Oryctolagus cuniculus: one gene and its partners. The protein of the gene in region 1 interacts with the protein of each later gene in a pairwise test. Links are inferred from orthologs where the notes say so. Each region holds a gene or a part of one and is shown in the gene's direction. Other genes may lie near its edges.

Region 1 (4,048 bases):
GGCTGAGGCAGGAAGGAAGGAACGACGGACGGAAGAAGGCGGCGACGGAAGGAGGGAGGAGGAGCCGCAGCGGCGCGGCAGGGTCCGGGCGCTGGGCGGGACGTGGAGGCTCCGCCCCCGGCCCCGCCCCCGGCGCGAGGAGGGCGGTGGCGCCGGGCCCGAGCCGCTCACCTGGCGCGCCCCCAGCCTGGCGGCGTGCGGGGCGAGCCGGGAGGAGGGCGGCGGAGGGCCCGCTGGCGTCGCACCCGGAGGCCCCGGTCACAGTGCGTGCGCCCGAGCTCCACCTTTGGTACCGTCTCCCCAACTGGTGGCGAAGGGGGCAGGGCCTTACCTGCCGCCCCCACATCACCTCCCTTCTTGGGACCCAAGTCCGGCCTGCTAGACTCGACTGGAACCCTGTGGCCTCCCGGGAATCCAACCTCTTGTGGGACCGCAGGCTTGGGCTATACCGTCCTTAAATAGGAGGGGCTGAGTCTCGTTAACAGAACGTGGTGCTTCAAGACAGTACTCAGTGGGGTTCTTGCAGCTAAGCATCTCCCCCGGGACACAGGACAAGCGTTTACCGTTTTCCTTAGGGGAGAAGTGGGAGTTTGGGAGCACACTCACCCACCCCGTCCTTTCCTTCCCCCGGCCATGCACCTCCCTTCCACCCTTTTCTTTACCCCTTCTGCACCCCACCCCCGGGGAACCTCCCTCTCATCTTTGTTCCCAGGCGTCCCCTACCCCGCTTCGGCAGCCTTTCCTCGGCGGGGTTCCCTCTCCGGCCCCTTCCTCTCTGGGAGTGTTCAGTGCTGCTCCCCGCTGCTCACCCCCGGCTCCCGCAACCTCTCTAACGCCGGCCAGCCCCGGTCGCTGCCCTCTACCCCGGCTGTCCTCTCGCCCAGCACACCTACACGCCTGCTCTCCCGCGCCACCTGTTCCCCTCGACCTCCCCCCACCCCGCTCCGTGCGTCCCCTGCTCAGCTGTCCCGCTGTCCCCGCGGCTGCCCGGCGCTCGCTCACACACTTGCCGAGCGCCTTCCACAGAGGAATCAGGCGAGCGGCGGGGACAGCCCCAGGCGGGTGGGGGAGGGCGAGGGGCGAGGGACGGAGTAGGTTCACTCTAACCTAGGAATGACGGCCCCTCCTGGTCCGCCCCCTGCGTTCTCTGATAGGTGGATCCGCCTCTGATCCGCCCCCTCCCCGCCCTGTGGCGCCGCCGATTGGCCCAGCAGCGTGTCGGGTTGGGCCGCTCAGCCCGGCGCTCGCCCCCGGGAAGGCAGCAGGGGCGGTTGAGAAGTGAAGTCTTGGCCAGAGTTTGCTTCTTGCCGGGAAACCCGCGACTGCGGCGGCGGCGATTCCCGGAGGAGCGGAGCCTGGCCGACTCCCGGCTCCCTCGGCGGGCCGCGGAGAGCGGGAGCTGGCGCCTGGCTGCGGCGCCGGGAGCCCCTGCGCGCCCCGGGCAGCCGCGCTTTCCCAGTGAGTAACTTTGCCTTGCCCTCCCCGCCGTGCGCTCTCTTCGCCGGCTGCCGGCAGCCGCCTCAGGTGCGGGGTGTGGGGCAGCGCCGCAGCCCGCGCTCGAGCCGCCGTCCTCCTCGGCTCCGTTTGCTCGCCTGGGCTGCGGGGCCAGCGCGGAGCCGAGTGCGGGGCTGGCCAGGCTGGTCCGGGGAGGAGGGGACGGCTGCCCGGCGCCTGGCTCCTGGCGCCCGGCGCCCGGCTGGCGAGTGGAAGGCGGGCGGCCCGGGGTTTGGCATTGGGTGGTTCTGGCCACCGCGGTGCGGATCTTTGCGTCGTTTGCTCTTTAGGGGAGACCAGAGGTGGTGGTGATTTTTTTTTTTTTTTTAATTTCGCGTGTGTGTTGGGAATGAGTGTGGCTCCAGCTGCTTCCCCGTCGGATTTCGTGCCCCTGGAAAGCAGTGGAGGGACATCGGCCCCAGCCTGTTGCCCAGGAATCCTCAGGCTGGAGACGAACTCCTGGGGGTAATTTCAAAATACGGATCTTGATTTGGAAGCATTGCACACAAAGCAACATGAGGCATTCAGGAAACACATCCCTCTCTTTATGCCACGTCTTAGACAACTACTTCCAACTTAGATGTAGGGTTTCTAATAGTATTTCAGTTATGGATCCTGACTTTTGGATTTGCCTAGAGTTAAAGTACATTCATGCATGGGCTTCCCTGTATAGATTTTCCTTTTTTTTTTTTTTTTTTTTAAATCACAAGAATCAGAAACGAAGTTGAAAGAAAAGTGGTCTTAGGGCAGGAGGAACAGTTGTGAGCTCCAGTTTATTGGAACTGGCCTCACTAGGAATTTCGCATTCTTGAGGCAATAGTACTTACTTGCAAACTGGCCTTCTTCCCAGGAAAGATTTTGATTTTTCTGTTGCACACACTGTGACACAGCACTGATGCAGTTGGATACCAGTGGATCAATTTTAATGCACTTTGAAAGATTTGTTTCCCACCCCCACAGCCCTTTGGAAAGAGGACTTTGGCAGGTAAAGGAGGAAGGGGGAGGAGGGATCTAGTATCCTGTTGGGCCTGTCAGAGCTTTGTTGAGCCAGGAATAACAAAGTTTGGCCTTTTTAGCTTGTCCAACTCTCATATGTGAGTTTTCCCATAGGGATAAAATCTAGGCCAAGTCAGAGCCAAAGTAGAATAACTCTGCTCTTTATTTGGCCCACTTGTGTGTCAACATTCTTAATTCTGTATCTTGTTCCTCTCTTCATGAAATTTTGGAATTTTTCATTATTCATTCAAACCACTGATAAAATGCCTACTGCATGCCAGGCGTTGATGGCAGGGTCAGTTCTTGCTCAGAAGTTGCTCGAACTCTCATTTGGAAGCTGGTCCTCACCTCTGGTCCACTGCTTATCAGAAAGTAACTTGAACAAAGTGCTATGGGAACTTAGAAGATGGAGCATTTGCCTGGGGTTTGTTAGAGGAGGCCTCACATGGGCACTCTTCAGGTTGGTGTGGGATTTTACCAGGTACAGCCTAGGCCAAGGGACTGACATACATGCCCCTTGCAAGTGGCTGCATGTGTTAGAGAGTTGCTTTATGAAATCTGTGTTTGGTCAGCTTCACCAAGGGACACAGTGTCTGTAGTTGAAGTAGTAGTCAGGGGTGGTATGTTACTCATTTCAGACTTAGCATTTTGCCTTGCTTACAGCAGGCACTCAAATGCTTACTGAACTGACTTCAGCAGAAAAATGGAGGATTTTGCATAACGAATTAGAAAATTTGGACCTCATCCAGTCAGTGATATAGAGCTGCTAATTTTTAAGCAAGGAAATATCATAACATTTGCGTTCCAGAAAGATATCTGCAGTGGCCTGGGGGAGGATGGGCATCCAGGTGGGAGGTAGGGAGACAAAGTCAGAGGTTGTTAGAATGTAGGGGTTAAGTCCTCAGGGGCTTTTTATTTAGATATTTGGGTTTGAACTTGGCTGTGTCATTTACTGCACAACCTCTTTGTTCAGTAGGTTCTTCATCTCATAGGGCTCGAGGGACTAAAATGTAAAAGAAACCCCAAAATTCTGTATATTAGAATAGTGTGTGGCATGCATTGAGGACTTAGTATATACTAATTGTCTTTCTGTATGAAGGCAATGGCAGGACAGGTGATATGGCATTTAGGAGGTATGGCTAGGAGGCTGGACTAGGTAAGTGGGCAAGACTAATGAGACAAGGATAATGCCTGGGTTTTCTGACTTGAGGCATTGGCATGTACAGTATACAGGTTAAGCTGGCTTTGGAGTCAGAACAGGGGTTGAATTCTAATTCTGTCACCTTCCCTTAGGATTCCTGTCCCGAGTTTGGATTTCCTAACATTTCGGAGATGATCCTAGTACCTGTTTATTAGTGTTTGCGGATCAACTGAAATTACACATGTAAATTCCCTTGGAACAGTCAAGTGCTTAATAAATATTAGTTGTTCCTTTAGTGATGATGACATTAGTGAGAGAGTAGAGGGCAAGGGGATATAAGAAGGAGCAGTAAAAACAGCTTATAGGCCAGCGCCGCGGCTCACTAGGCTAATTCTCCGCCTGCGGCGCTGGCACCCC
Region 2 (3,500 bases), on another chromosome or scaffold:
CTGATCCAGCATCCTGCTAATACATCTGGGAGATAGCAGGTGATGGCCCAAGTAGTTGAGTTCCTGCTACTTGTAGGGAAAACCAATTTCCTGTCTTTGGCTTGACCCAGCCCCAGCTATTGCAGGAATTTGGGGAGTGAACCATCAAATATAAGATTCATCTGCCTTTTTACCTGTCTCCCTCCCTTTCTGTTACTCTGCCTTTAAATCAGTTATCCTTAAAAGATGATGGGAGGGAAGGCTTCAGACAAAGAGGAGTTGGCAAAGTAGGGTGGTTTGACAGAGTTACAGAGAGACAGATGTCTTCCATCTGCCATTTCACTCGTATGTGGCAGCAATGGCCTGGGCTGTGCCAAGACAAAGTGTCTCCCTTGTGGGTGGCAGGGGCCTAAGTAGTTGGACTATCCTTCCTGCCTTCCCAGGTATATTAGCAGGGAGCTGAATTAGAAGCAGAGCCAGGTAGGTATTGAATTGGTTGGCACTGCTGGGATTCCAGTGTCACAAGCAGCAGCCTTTGCCACAGTGTCAGCATCAGGCCTGTTTTTGTTAATACTTTTTATTCAGCCTGCCTGTTGGTTTGTGTATTGTCTTTGGTTCCTTTTTCAGCTACAGTGGTAATAGTTGTATGGATTTGTGTACAATTGAGTAGTTTGAGCCTACAGACTCTGTTTTTAGGGGAAAAAAGTTCACCTGAAGCATAAGGCACAGAAATGAAGTTTTAAATAAATGAAATTTGGTTTTTCAGATTGGCGCTGTTCCTTTGGCTGCTTTGGGAGCTCCTACTCTTGATCCTGCCCTTGCTGCACTAGGGCTTCCTGGAGCAAACTTGAACTCTCAGGTACAACTTACTATTACCCTTCAGATTTGGAGTCACTTTGTATAGAAAATTTCTTTTTTATTTATTTTTTTTTTAGATTTATTTATTTATTTTAAAGAGTTACAGAGAGGAGAGGCAGAGAGAGAGAGAGGTACACTCCCCATATGGCCGCAACGGTCGGAGCTGCACCGATCAGGAACCAGGAGCCTCCTCCAGGTCTCCCATTTGGGTGTAGGGGCCCAAGGCCTTGGACCATCTTCTGTTGCTCTCCCAGGCCATAGCAGAGAGCTGGATTGGAAGAGGAGCAGCCAGGACTAGAACCGGCGCCCATTTGGAATGCCGGTGCTTAAGGCCAGGGCATTAACCCGCTGCGCCGCAGTGCCAGCCCCGAAAATTCATTTCATTAATTTATAGTTTGCAGTTGAAGATCAGGAGTTAACTGCCATATTATAAAAATGATTTGTTGTTGTTGTCAAATGTGTTAAAAAGTTATTTTAATGCTCACTAAATTATTAGCCTGTTACCCATAAAAATTTTTTTTTTTTTTTTTTTTTTTTTCATATAATTCAAAATGGAAAATAGGTTCACAGGAAGCCAGGACACCATCAGTGTTGTGGAAAAAAGAGTAAATAGTCATGAAAGAATGGGAACATGAGCTCATAATTTGTTTTTCTATCATGGGAATTTTTTTTCTTTTATTATAATTGCCTAAACTTTTTTCTGAAATCCTTACTTTGTGGAGATCTTCTGATACACTGGCTAAATAGTTTAGTTTGGATTTCGCTTTATGTGTTTCTTGAAAGTACTATTTTACTGGCAGAGCCTTAAATTATCAAAAGATAATTCTGTGAAATCTGGACTATTCAGCCTCATTATCTTAGATAACTTGCTAAAGCTCCTCTGTCAGTATTGTGGCCATTAAGGTTGCCTGTTTTCTTTTGGTATTTTCTTTTGGCTACTAAAAGATTTTCTATGATATATAGCTTGCCTTATATTTCTGTTGGTTAGTGTTGTGCCCAGAGCATGTTGCTTTTTGTAGGTTTGGCAGATTGTTCCAGGACATACTGAGACATAAACATACTGAGAAAATAGCAGTTATGTACTGTTATTTGTATTTTCATTTTTCTTATATTTTTGTTTTTGCAGTCTCTTGCCGCAGATCAGTTGCTGAAGCTCATGAGTACTGTTGATCCCAAGTAAGGGTTTTTCTCTGTTTCCATTAGTGATTTGGCATTTCACTATCTAGGGTTTGGGAAAAACTGTCCCAGAGCAAAGAAGTAAAACATGTTAGGTAAATAATTTTAGCCAATAACTTTGACACGCTAGTAAGCTCACTTCATGTTGTAATTAAAATTGTTAACTGCTTGACATTTAACAAGTTTATGGAACTTTTTAAATTGGTAATTTGTTGGTATGTTAAAATTTGCTAAGTGGTAAATTTGGTAAATGTCACTGTCAATAAGTTGCAGACCACAGATGTCTTTACTAGTTAGTGGCTGTTTTCTTAAAAATTACCTTAAAGTTAAAATTCAAGTATAATCCCACCATCCAGCTGACAAAATATCACCAGCACAGTTGAAGCTCCCAGTGTATCCATTCTTAGTTACATTACCACTCTCCCACAAATAACTAGCATGCTCAATTTGAATATGTATAATTTTTCTTTCATGTGTAAAACCTCTTAAGGGACATTTTAGTGTTTCCAGTCAGTATTTCATGTGTAACTTTGGGACATTTTTCCTCTGCCTCAGTTTCTTCCCAACTTCAAAATAAAAAGTAGTGCTTTCTACCCAACAAAAGTAGGATGTTGTTAATCATGTAAGGGAAAGGTCAGTTAAATTTTTGTGTCAATACATTGCCTTGTACTAACATTTCTTAAAAGGTCTATGGTAATAGATGGTCGGCAAAATTAAATGAATATTTTCCTTATTCCAGATATCTCTGAGTTATTAAAATGCAGGTGCACACTGTAAATATTCAAAATGACACTTTACAATGTATTGTTAACCTAAATTGTGGAATCCTCACCCTTTTTTATAAGGAGTGTTTTTCAAAAATGTTATGTGGAACATACGCATTTGAAATGCAGGGATACACTTAAAATATTTCAGATCTCAATTCTTGTCTGTTTCAGGTTGAATCATGTAGCTGCTGGTCTTGTTTCACCAAGTCTGAAATCTGATACCTCTAGTAAAGAAATAGAGGAGGCTATGAAAAGAGTACGAGAAGCACAGTCCCTGATTTCTGCTGCTATAGAACCAGGTGAATATGTTTGTAGAGTTTTGTGAAACATTAAATTCTATATTATTGTCCAAAGTAAGTATATAAATCTGGAAATATGTTAAATATGGTTTTTTTCCTAATTTCCCAAATTCTGAAAAGATTATGTGTGAGACATTGTTGTGTTACAGCAGGTTATGCTTCTGCTTATGATGCCAACATCCCTTATCAGAGTGCCGCTTTAGTCCTGGCTGCTGTGTTCCCATCCAGCTTCCTGCTGATGTGCCTGAGAAGGCAACAGAAGAAGACCCAAATAACTAGGTCCCTGCCACCCATGTGAAATACCCTGATGATGTTCCTTGTTCCTCTCTTTTGCAGCCATTTGGAGAATGAACCATTGGATAGAGAAGCACTCTGTCTCTCTCTGCCTCTCTGCCTTTGAAACAAATAAATATTTAAAAGG
Region 3 (3,500 bases), on another chromosome or scaffold:
CCCTGAAGCATTCACCTTTGGAAATAGATATTATTCTATTTTAGATAATCTTTAAATATGGTTTTTGTTTGAAAACTCAGTGTCCCATATCTATAGATGGTATCTTCATGTGCTATATTTATAAATATTTTGACTTTAATTTATTAATAATATATTTATATTTAGACTTTGCACAAAAAAACTTTCTACTATCTGGAACAGTTGATTCTGAAGTATGGAATGCATCAGAATACACTTCGTATCAAAGAGATTCATGGTGAGTTAAAATTGGAAAGAGTTTGAAATTATGTCATAGTTTATTTCAACTTACCTAAGTAATCTTATCTTTCCTGATAGTTTCTGGATTAGTAGTACCATCCAAAAGAACTTTCTGTTAGGAAATTAAAAACGTCTTAGTTCTATATCCTCTCTGTCCAGTGTGATAGTCACTAGTTAGTCATTTGTGGCTGTTGAGTAATTGAAATCTGATTAGTGCAACTAATTAGAGGAACTGAATTTTTATTTTCTCCTATTTTAATTTAAAATTAGATTCAGGTTACATGTGGCTACTCTGTTATATAGCAGAGACTTAGAACTCAGAATTTTTTTCTTTGATTTTCTGCCTCTGCCCAAATTAATGATACTTATCAACCCTCTGGTTTATGATAGATGCCATGCTGTGTTCTTAGAACATAAAGATGAACTGATACTAACTCCTGCCCTCAGTGAATCGTTTGCCTTGTTACCTAATGAGTAACCAGTAACTATGTGAATAAAGTGTTCAATGCTATGATAGAAGATTCATCAAAAACTTATTTTATGTAGTAGAGAGAACAGTTTCTCATTGGAAGAAGTTAATTATTTTTGAGTTCTATAAGTTCTTTCTATACTGTTTTTATGTTTTTCATATCAGAGGATTTATGATGTATACAATAATTCAGAAGTCTAAATTTAGTAATAATAAATAGTGATACCAAATAGTGATACATAAAATATCTGTTTCTCTCTCTTGGCCTTGTATTTTATTTTGTCCTTTTATCAAGCAAATCTTAAATGATATTCCTAATCAGTTATGGCTACAATATAATCTTTATATTTTCTGATTTGATTTTATTTAGTATAGATTTAATTTGTGAAGTAAGTCTTCTTTTACAGAATTTTGTTTTTTTTCAGATGGTCTGGATTTCTATTATTCCTCAAAGCAACATGCTCAGAAGATGGTAGAATTTCTTCAGTGTACAGTTCCCTGTAGGTATGTTCTAAACCTAAATGTGGCTTATTCTGGGGATCTGGGAATAGATATGGGTAACATTGTTGAGGCTTTGACAATATTCTTTAGGTTAAAAATTTTAAAAATCGTAGGAGTACTTACTTATACAGTCAGGAAGCTTTTATTGGTTTAGGCACTTTAAGTGATAGAGTAACTGAAGAGCACGTAAGAATCTCCTTGGGGAGCTAAAACTAACACCGTGATACTAAACACTGTTATGCTGAACCATTGATTAAATGTATTTAAATTATATGAAACAGGAAAAATAGGGTATAAGAGAGCTTTGTGGAAAGCTTTATGGAAGAAGTGGGACTTGTGGTTCAAAAGTGGGAAAAATTTTTCAAAGGTGGAATTTAAAATTTAAAGAAGATACTAGGGTGAACAAAGACTTGCAGTGGGCATTTGGGTAAGTTTTAATGGATAGCATGTAGAGAGCACATTGGTCTGAGCCCAAGTACATATTTTGGAGGCTTTCAGCAGATAAGGTTGAAAATAGATGGAATATAATTAGACCTATGAAGGTTTTAAATTACACGTGGATGAAATTTGCTCTAACATAGCAGACATCAGGAAGCTGTTTCAGACCTTGGACAGTGATAATCTGATTTGATGAAAATTGATATTCCTGTCTTCACAAGAACCTTAGTCTTTATATTGATTTTAATCTTTTTTTGTTAATAGATACAAAGCATCACAAAGACTGATATCTCAAGATATCCATAGTAACACATACAATTACAAAAGCACTTTTTCTGTGGAAATTGTTCCAATATGCAAGGTAATTTTTTAAATTTGATAATTCGTATCTATATAAGAATACAAGTGATTAATTGGTTTGAATGTAGTTTATAACTCCTGGCTTTTTTCTGAACTTGGTGTAAAGTGTAGAATAACGAACTTCAATGATTTCTGAAATATTCAGCCATGTTAAAAAGATACAGAAAAGTAACCATGCTTGTAATTATGAATTGAAATGCATTTCATTTGTTTTTTTAAGATGAAATGTCCTGGTTTCAGTTTTTTAAAAATTCATTTTCCTTAAAACTTGTGATCCTAGTGGACATATGACAGTTCTACAAAACTTTGAATACAGGAAATGATATTAAAATAAGTATTAGTGAGCTTTTTGTGGAACATATGCAAGCAGGATTTTGGCAGGATTAAATTAATCAATATTGTGGAAATGAGATCACGGAATCCTTTTTGTTATTTAAAAGTATCTGAATAAAACCTTTAAATGTAGATTATTTCATTTGATCTTCTAAGATACAAACTACAAAAATGTAAATGATTTAAAATTCAATAAGTAATTATTGAGCATTCACTATATAGAATACTATGTGACTATGTGTTCATGACTAGTCAGCTCTCTACCATGTAGGAACTCACATTTTTATATTAAACCACTAATAATGATAACTACCATTATTTATTGTGAACATTCTATGATGCCATTATCTATTTACTTAAGTATTCACTTTGTATACAGTACTAGAGTAAAATAATAGCCTAAAATAGGGTCAGCAGTTTTTTTTTAAGATGTGTTCATTTTTTTTATTTGAAAGACAGAAAGAGAGAGATACTCCCACTGTTGGTTCATTTCCCAAGTGGCCACAAACAGGGTGAGGCCAGGCTGAGTGAAGAGCCAGGAACTCCATCTTGGTCTCCCACAGGTTGGCAGGAACTCATGTACTTTAGCCATGATTGCTGCCTACCAGCAAGCTTTCTATAAAGGGCTAGATAGTAAATATTTTTTGCTTTCAAACCCTATAACCTCTTTTGCAACTTGTTAGCTCTGCTCTTGTTATACAAAAGCAGCCATGATTAATATGTGAGTGAGTGACCAGAACTGTGTTCCCATAAAACTACCTGTAGCAATAAGTGGTGGTGGGGCTGCAATTGGCCTTGCAGTTAAGACACCTGCATCCTTTATCCTTATGAGTGCCTAGGTTTGATACCTCAGGCTCCTGATAATGCAGACCTTGGGAGCAGCAGTGGTAACTCAAGTAATTGGGTTTGTGCCATGCATGTTGGAGACCTAGGCTGAGTTTGCAGCTCCTGGCTTTGCCCCAGCCGAAGGCTGTTGTGGACATTTGGGAAGTGGACCAATAGATGAGTACTCTGTATATCTGTCTCTCAAAGTTCTTAAATGGTGGACCAAATTTGTCCCTAAGGTCGTTTTTTGCCAACTCCTCTTTTAAAACAATAAACATTTCCTGACATATGAAGCCTAAGAATTAATGAATTTGGG
Region 4 (3,500 bases), on another chromosome or scaffold:
CAACATGACCGAGCGGCGGCGCGACGAGCTGTCGGAAGAGATCAACAACCTGCGCGAGAAGGTCATCCGGCAGTCGGAGGAGAACAGCCAGCTGCAGAGCCAGGTGCAGAAGCTCACGGAGGAGAACAGCACCCTGCGAGAGCAGGTGGAGCCCCCTGCCGCCGAGGAGGAGGCCGAGGAAGACGAGCTGGAGCTGCGCGGGGCCGCGGCAGCTGCTGCCCCGCCACCCCCCGTGGAGGAGGAGTGCCCCGAGGACCTCCCGGAGAAGTTTGATGGCAACCCGGACATGTTGGCGCCCTTCATATCCCAGTGCCAGATCTTCATGGAAAAGAGCACCCGCGATTTCTCCGTGGACCGTGTGCGTGTCTGCTTCGTCACCAGCATGATGACGGGCCGTGCGGCGCGGTGGGCCTCAGCCAAGCTGGAACGTTCACACTACCTGATGCACAACTACCCCGCCTTCATGATGGAGATGAAGCACGTCTTCGAAGACCCCCAGCGCCGGGAGGCCGCCAAGCGCAAGATCCGCCGTCTGCGCCAAGGCATGGGCTCGGTGGTCGACTACTCCAACGCCTTCCAGATGATCGCCCAGGACCTGGACTGGAACGAGCCCGCGCTCATCGACCAGTACCACGAGGGCCTGAGCGACCACATCCAGGAGGAGCTGTCCCACCTGGAGGTGGCCAAGTCCCTGTCAGCGCTCATCAGCCAGTGCATCCAAATCGAGAGACGGCTGGCCCGGGCGGCTGCGGCGCGCAAGCCCCGCTCCCCGCCGCGTGCGCTTGTGCTTCCCAACGTGTCAGGCAACCACCAGGTGGACCCCACCGAGCCCGTGGGGGGCGCCCGCATGCGCCTCACCCAAGAAGAGAAGGAGCGCCGCAGGAAGCTGAACCTATGCCTCTACTGCGGCACCGGTGGCCACTACGCCGACAACTGTCCTGCCAAGGCCTCCAAGTCCTCGCCGGCGGGAAACTCCCCGGCCCCGCTGTAGAGGGACCTTCAGCGACCGGGCCAGAAATAATAAGGTCCCCACAAGATGATGCCTCATCTCCACACCTGCAAGTGATGCTCCAGATCCATCTTCCGGGCAGACACACCCTGTTTGTTCGAGCCATGATCGATTCTGGTGCTTCCGGGAACTTCATCGACCACGAATACGTCACCCAAAATGGAATCCCACTGAGAATCAAGGACTGGCCAATCCTCGTGGAAGCGATCGACGGGCGCCCCATCGCGTCCGGCCCGGTCGTCTACGAAACTCACGACCTGATTGTAGACATGGGAGACCACCGAGAGGTGTTGTCCTTCGACGTGACTCAGTCTCCTTTCTTCCCCGTGGTCCTGGGCGTACGCTGGCTGAGCACACATGACCCCAACATCACCTGGAGTACCCGCTCCATCGTCTTCGACTCCGACTACTGCCGCTACCACTGCCGCCTGTACACGCACCTGCCGACTGCGCCCCAGCCGCACCTCTACTACCCGGTGGACGGCTACCGCGTGTACCACCCGGTGCGCTACTACTATGTGCAGAATGTCTACACCCCAGTCGACGAGCATGTCTACCCAGACCACCGGCTGGTGGACCCCGGCATAGAGATGATCCCAGGAGCGCACAGCATCCCCAGCGGGCACGTGTATACCCTGTCGGAACATGAGATGGCGGCGCTGCGAAACTTCGTGGCCAGGAACGTGAAGGACGGGCTCATCACCCCCACCATCGCCCCGAACGGGGCCCAGGTCCTGCAGGTCAAGAGGGGCTGGAAGCTGCAGGTGTCCTACGACTGCCGCACTCCGAACAACTTCACCATCCAGAACCAGTATCCTCGTCTGTCCCTCCCCAACCTGGAAGACCAAGCCCATCTGGCCACCTACACCGAGTGTGTACATCATGTGCACTGCTGCCATTCTTGTCATTCATGCCATTTTTATCATTTGTGCCAAAGGTGCCATTCGTACCATGCCTACCCTTCGTACCCAGCCTACCCTGTGGGCTACGCCTGGTACCCAGTGGGCCGAGACATACAAGGAAGAGCGCTCTACATCCCTGTCATGATCACCTGGAACCCGCACTGGTACCGCCAGCCCCCCGTGCCGCAGTACCCCCCGCCGCAGCCGCCGCCGCCGCCGCCGCCGCCCCCGCCGCCGCCGTCGTCCTACAGCTCCCTGTGAGCCCGCTCGAGGCCGCGGGACCCCCGCCCTCCGGGCCTCCTCCTGTCCAGCTTCCCCGTCAGTGACTGTGTGCTGAAGGCGGCCGCCGGTGCCGCAGGTCAGGCATCGGCCAGCGCCTGCCCGCTGCGCTCTGCCCCGACTGCCATCTCGCGGGAGTCCACCTTCCAGCCTCCGTCACCACCCGGATTTCTAGCTGCCAAATTCTGAACCCAGAAGCTGACCCCACACAGGAAATGCTGACTTCTCCGAGGAGGGGGAGCGGAGGAGGAGGACAGGACTTCTCGCAGTTTCGGTCCTCTGAGTTACACCCCTGGAGGACCCGCGCCTTATGAAGGAAGCCGCATTTACTGGTGCAGTGGGCAGAGGCTTCCGTGATGCTAGTGCTGCACCTTCAGAAACTTCACCTTCTTCGAGCTCCACGTTCATGGTTCCGTTAATTCTCAAGGAGCAGCAACTCGACCGGTTCTCCCAGGAGCGGGCAAAACCCCTGCAACAGGAAACACCTCAGGCCTGGAAAGGAAGTGCTCTATCAGAGACTCTGGCGCGTTAAGAGTGTGCCTTCACACCCTGGTGCAAATCACACGTACCCAAGAACTCTGGCTCGACACAGCATCGACACAGCATCGTACCATCACCACGCCAGGAACAGCTTCCACCAAGCGTTCCGTGTCTGTGACGTGTCATGACCACCTCTCAATGACGCGCGTGGGCCGAAGAACAGCGAGTGGATAGGACTCCTAAACCCTGTACCCAACTCTTAAGAGACTCAGAGTTCCTTGTTTCCAACTTTTAGTGGTCTTTCAGAGGGAGTTTTCACGAGTGTTGGTGACGGGTTGCAACAGCAGCAGCTTACAGTTTTGGAAACATCTATCTGTGTGTGTGCCTCCATACGCATCTGGGCATTCCATCCTCAGTTCCCTCATTGGACTGTACCATTTTAGGATGCTGAGAGAGGGGCAATGATTTTGCACTCAGACCCACACTCCTGTACAAGGGAGGGATGGATGTCTTTGAGGAAGAGAAATTGTCTTGAGGATACTGACCTTCCTGGTGAGCTTTTTCATTCAACAGGGTGACCTGATGTAACCACTTTGAAAGGATCCCTCCAGGTGATGGAGCCAACATGAAGCTCTCAAAAATTGGGTGAAAGGCCTCACACACAGCTGTTGCCAATCCAGTGACCCCTCTGGTGTCAGCTGGACGCTCTGTGCTAACCTGGGACTGCCTGACTTCTTTAGCCTGGTCCCTTGCTATTACCTTGAAGTGTTTGTCTAACCTCTTTGTGTTTGATTCTTTACTACTGCCATTAACCCTGATGCAGGATTTGT

What was found.
Region 2: the proteins of LNX2 (region 1) and SRSF11 interact in a two-hybrid assay, tested with the Homo sapiens proteins (3 studies listed by BioGRID and IntAct). The link is inferred for Oryctolagus cuniculus from reciprocal best matches to the Homo sapiens genes LNX2 and SRSF11.
Region 3: the proteins of LNX2 (region 1) and NMD3 interact in a two-hybrid assay, tested with the Homo sapiens proteins (3 studies listed by BioGRID and IntAct). The link is inferred for Oryctolagus cuniculus from reciprocal best matches to the Homo sapiens genes LNX2 and NMD3.
Region 4: the proteins of LNX2 (region 1) and PEG10 interact in binary tests that used the Homo sapiens proteins (3 or more experiments, as listed by UniProt). The link is inferred for Oryctolagus cuniculus from reciprocal best matches to the Homo sapiens genes LNX2 and PEG10.

What each region holds. Positions count from the first base shown.
Region 1 is NC_091440.1:86,898,217-86,902,264, forward strand, and holds the start of LNX2 (ligand of Numb protein X 2), read left to right. Parts: upstream 1-1,248; 5' UTR 1,249-1,458; intron 1,459-4,048.
Region 2 is NC_091438.1:102,150,017-102,153,516, reverse strand, and holds part of SRSF11 (serine/arginine-rich splicing factor 11), read left to right. Parts: intron 1-745; coding exon 746-838; intron 839-1,963; coding exon 1,964-2,013; intron 2,014-2,951; coding exon 2,952-3,079; intron 3,080-3,500. UniProt on the Homo sapiens protein: May function in pre-mRNA splicing.
Region 3 is NC_091435.1:119,367,155-119,370,654, reverse strand, and holds part of NMD3 (60S ribosomal export protein NMD3), read left to right. Parts: intron 1-165; coding exon 166-256; intron 257-1,152; coding exon 1,153-1,231; intron 1,232-1,930; coding exon 1,931-2,027; intron 2,028-3,500. UniProt on the Homo sapiens protein: Acts as an adapter for the XPO1/CRM1-mediated export of the 60S ribosomal subunit.
Region 4 is NC_091447.1:41,286,235-41,289,734, reverse strand, and holds part of PEG10 (retrotransposon-derived protein PEG10), read left to right. Parts: coding exon 1-991; coding exon of another isoform or gene 992-2,172; 3' UTR 2,173-3,500.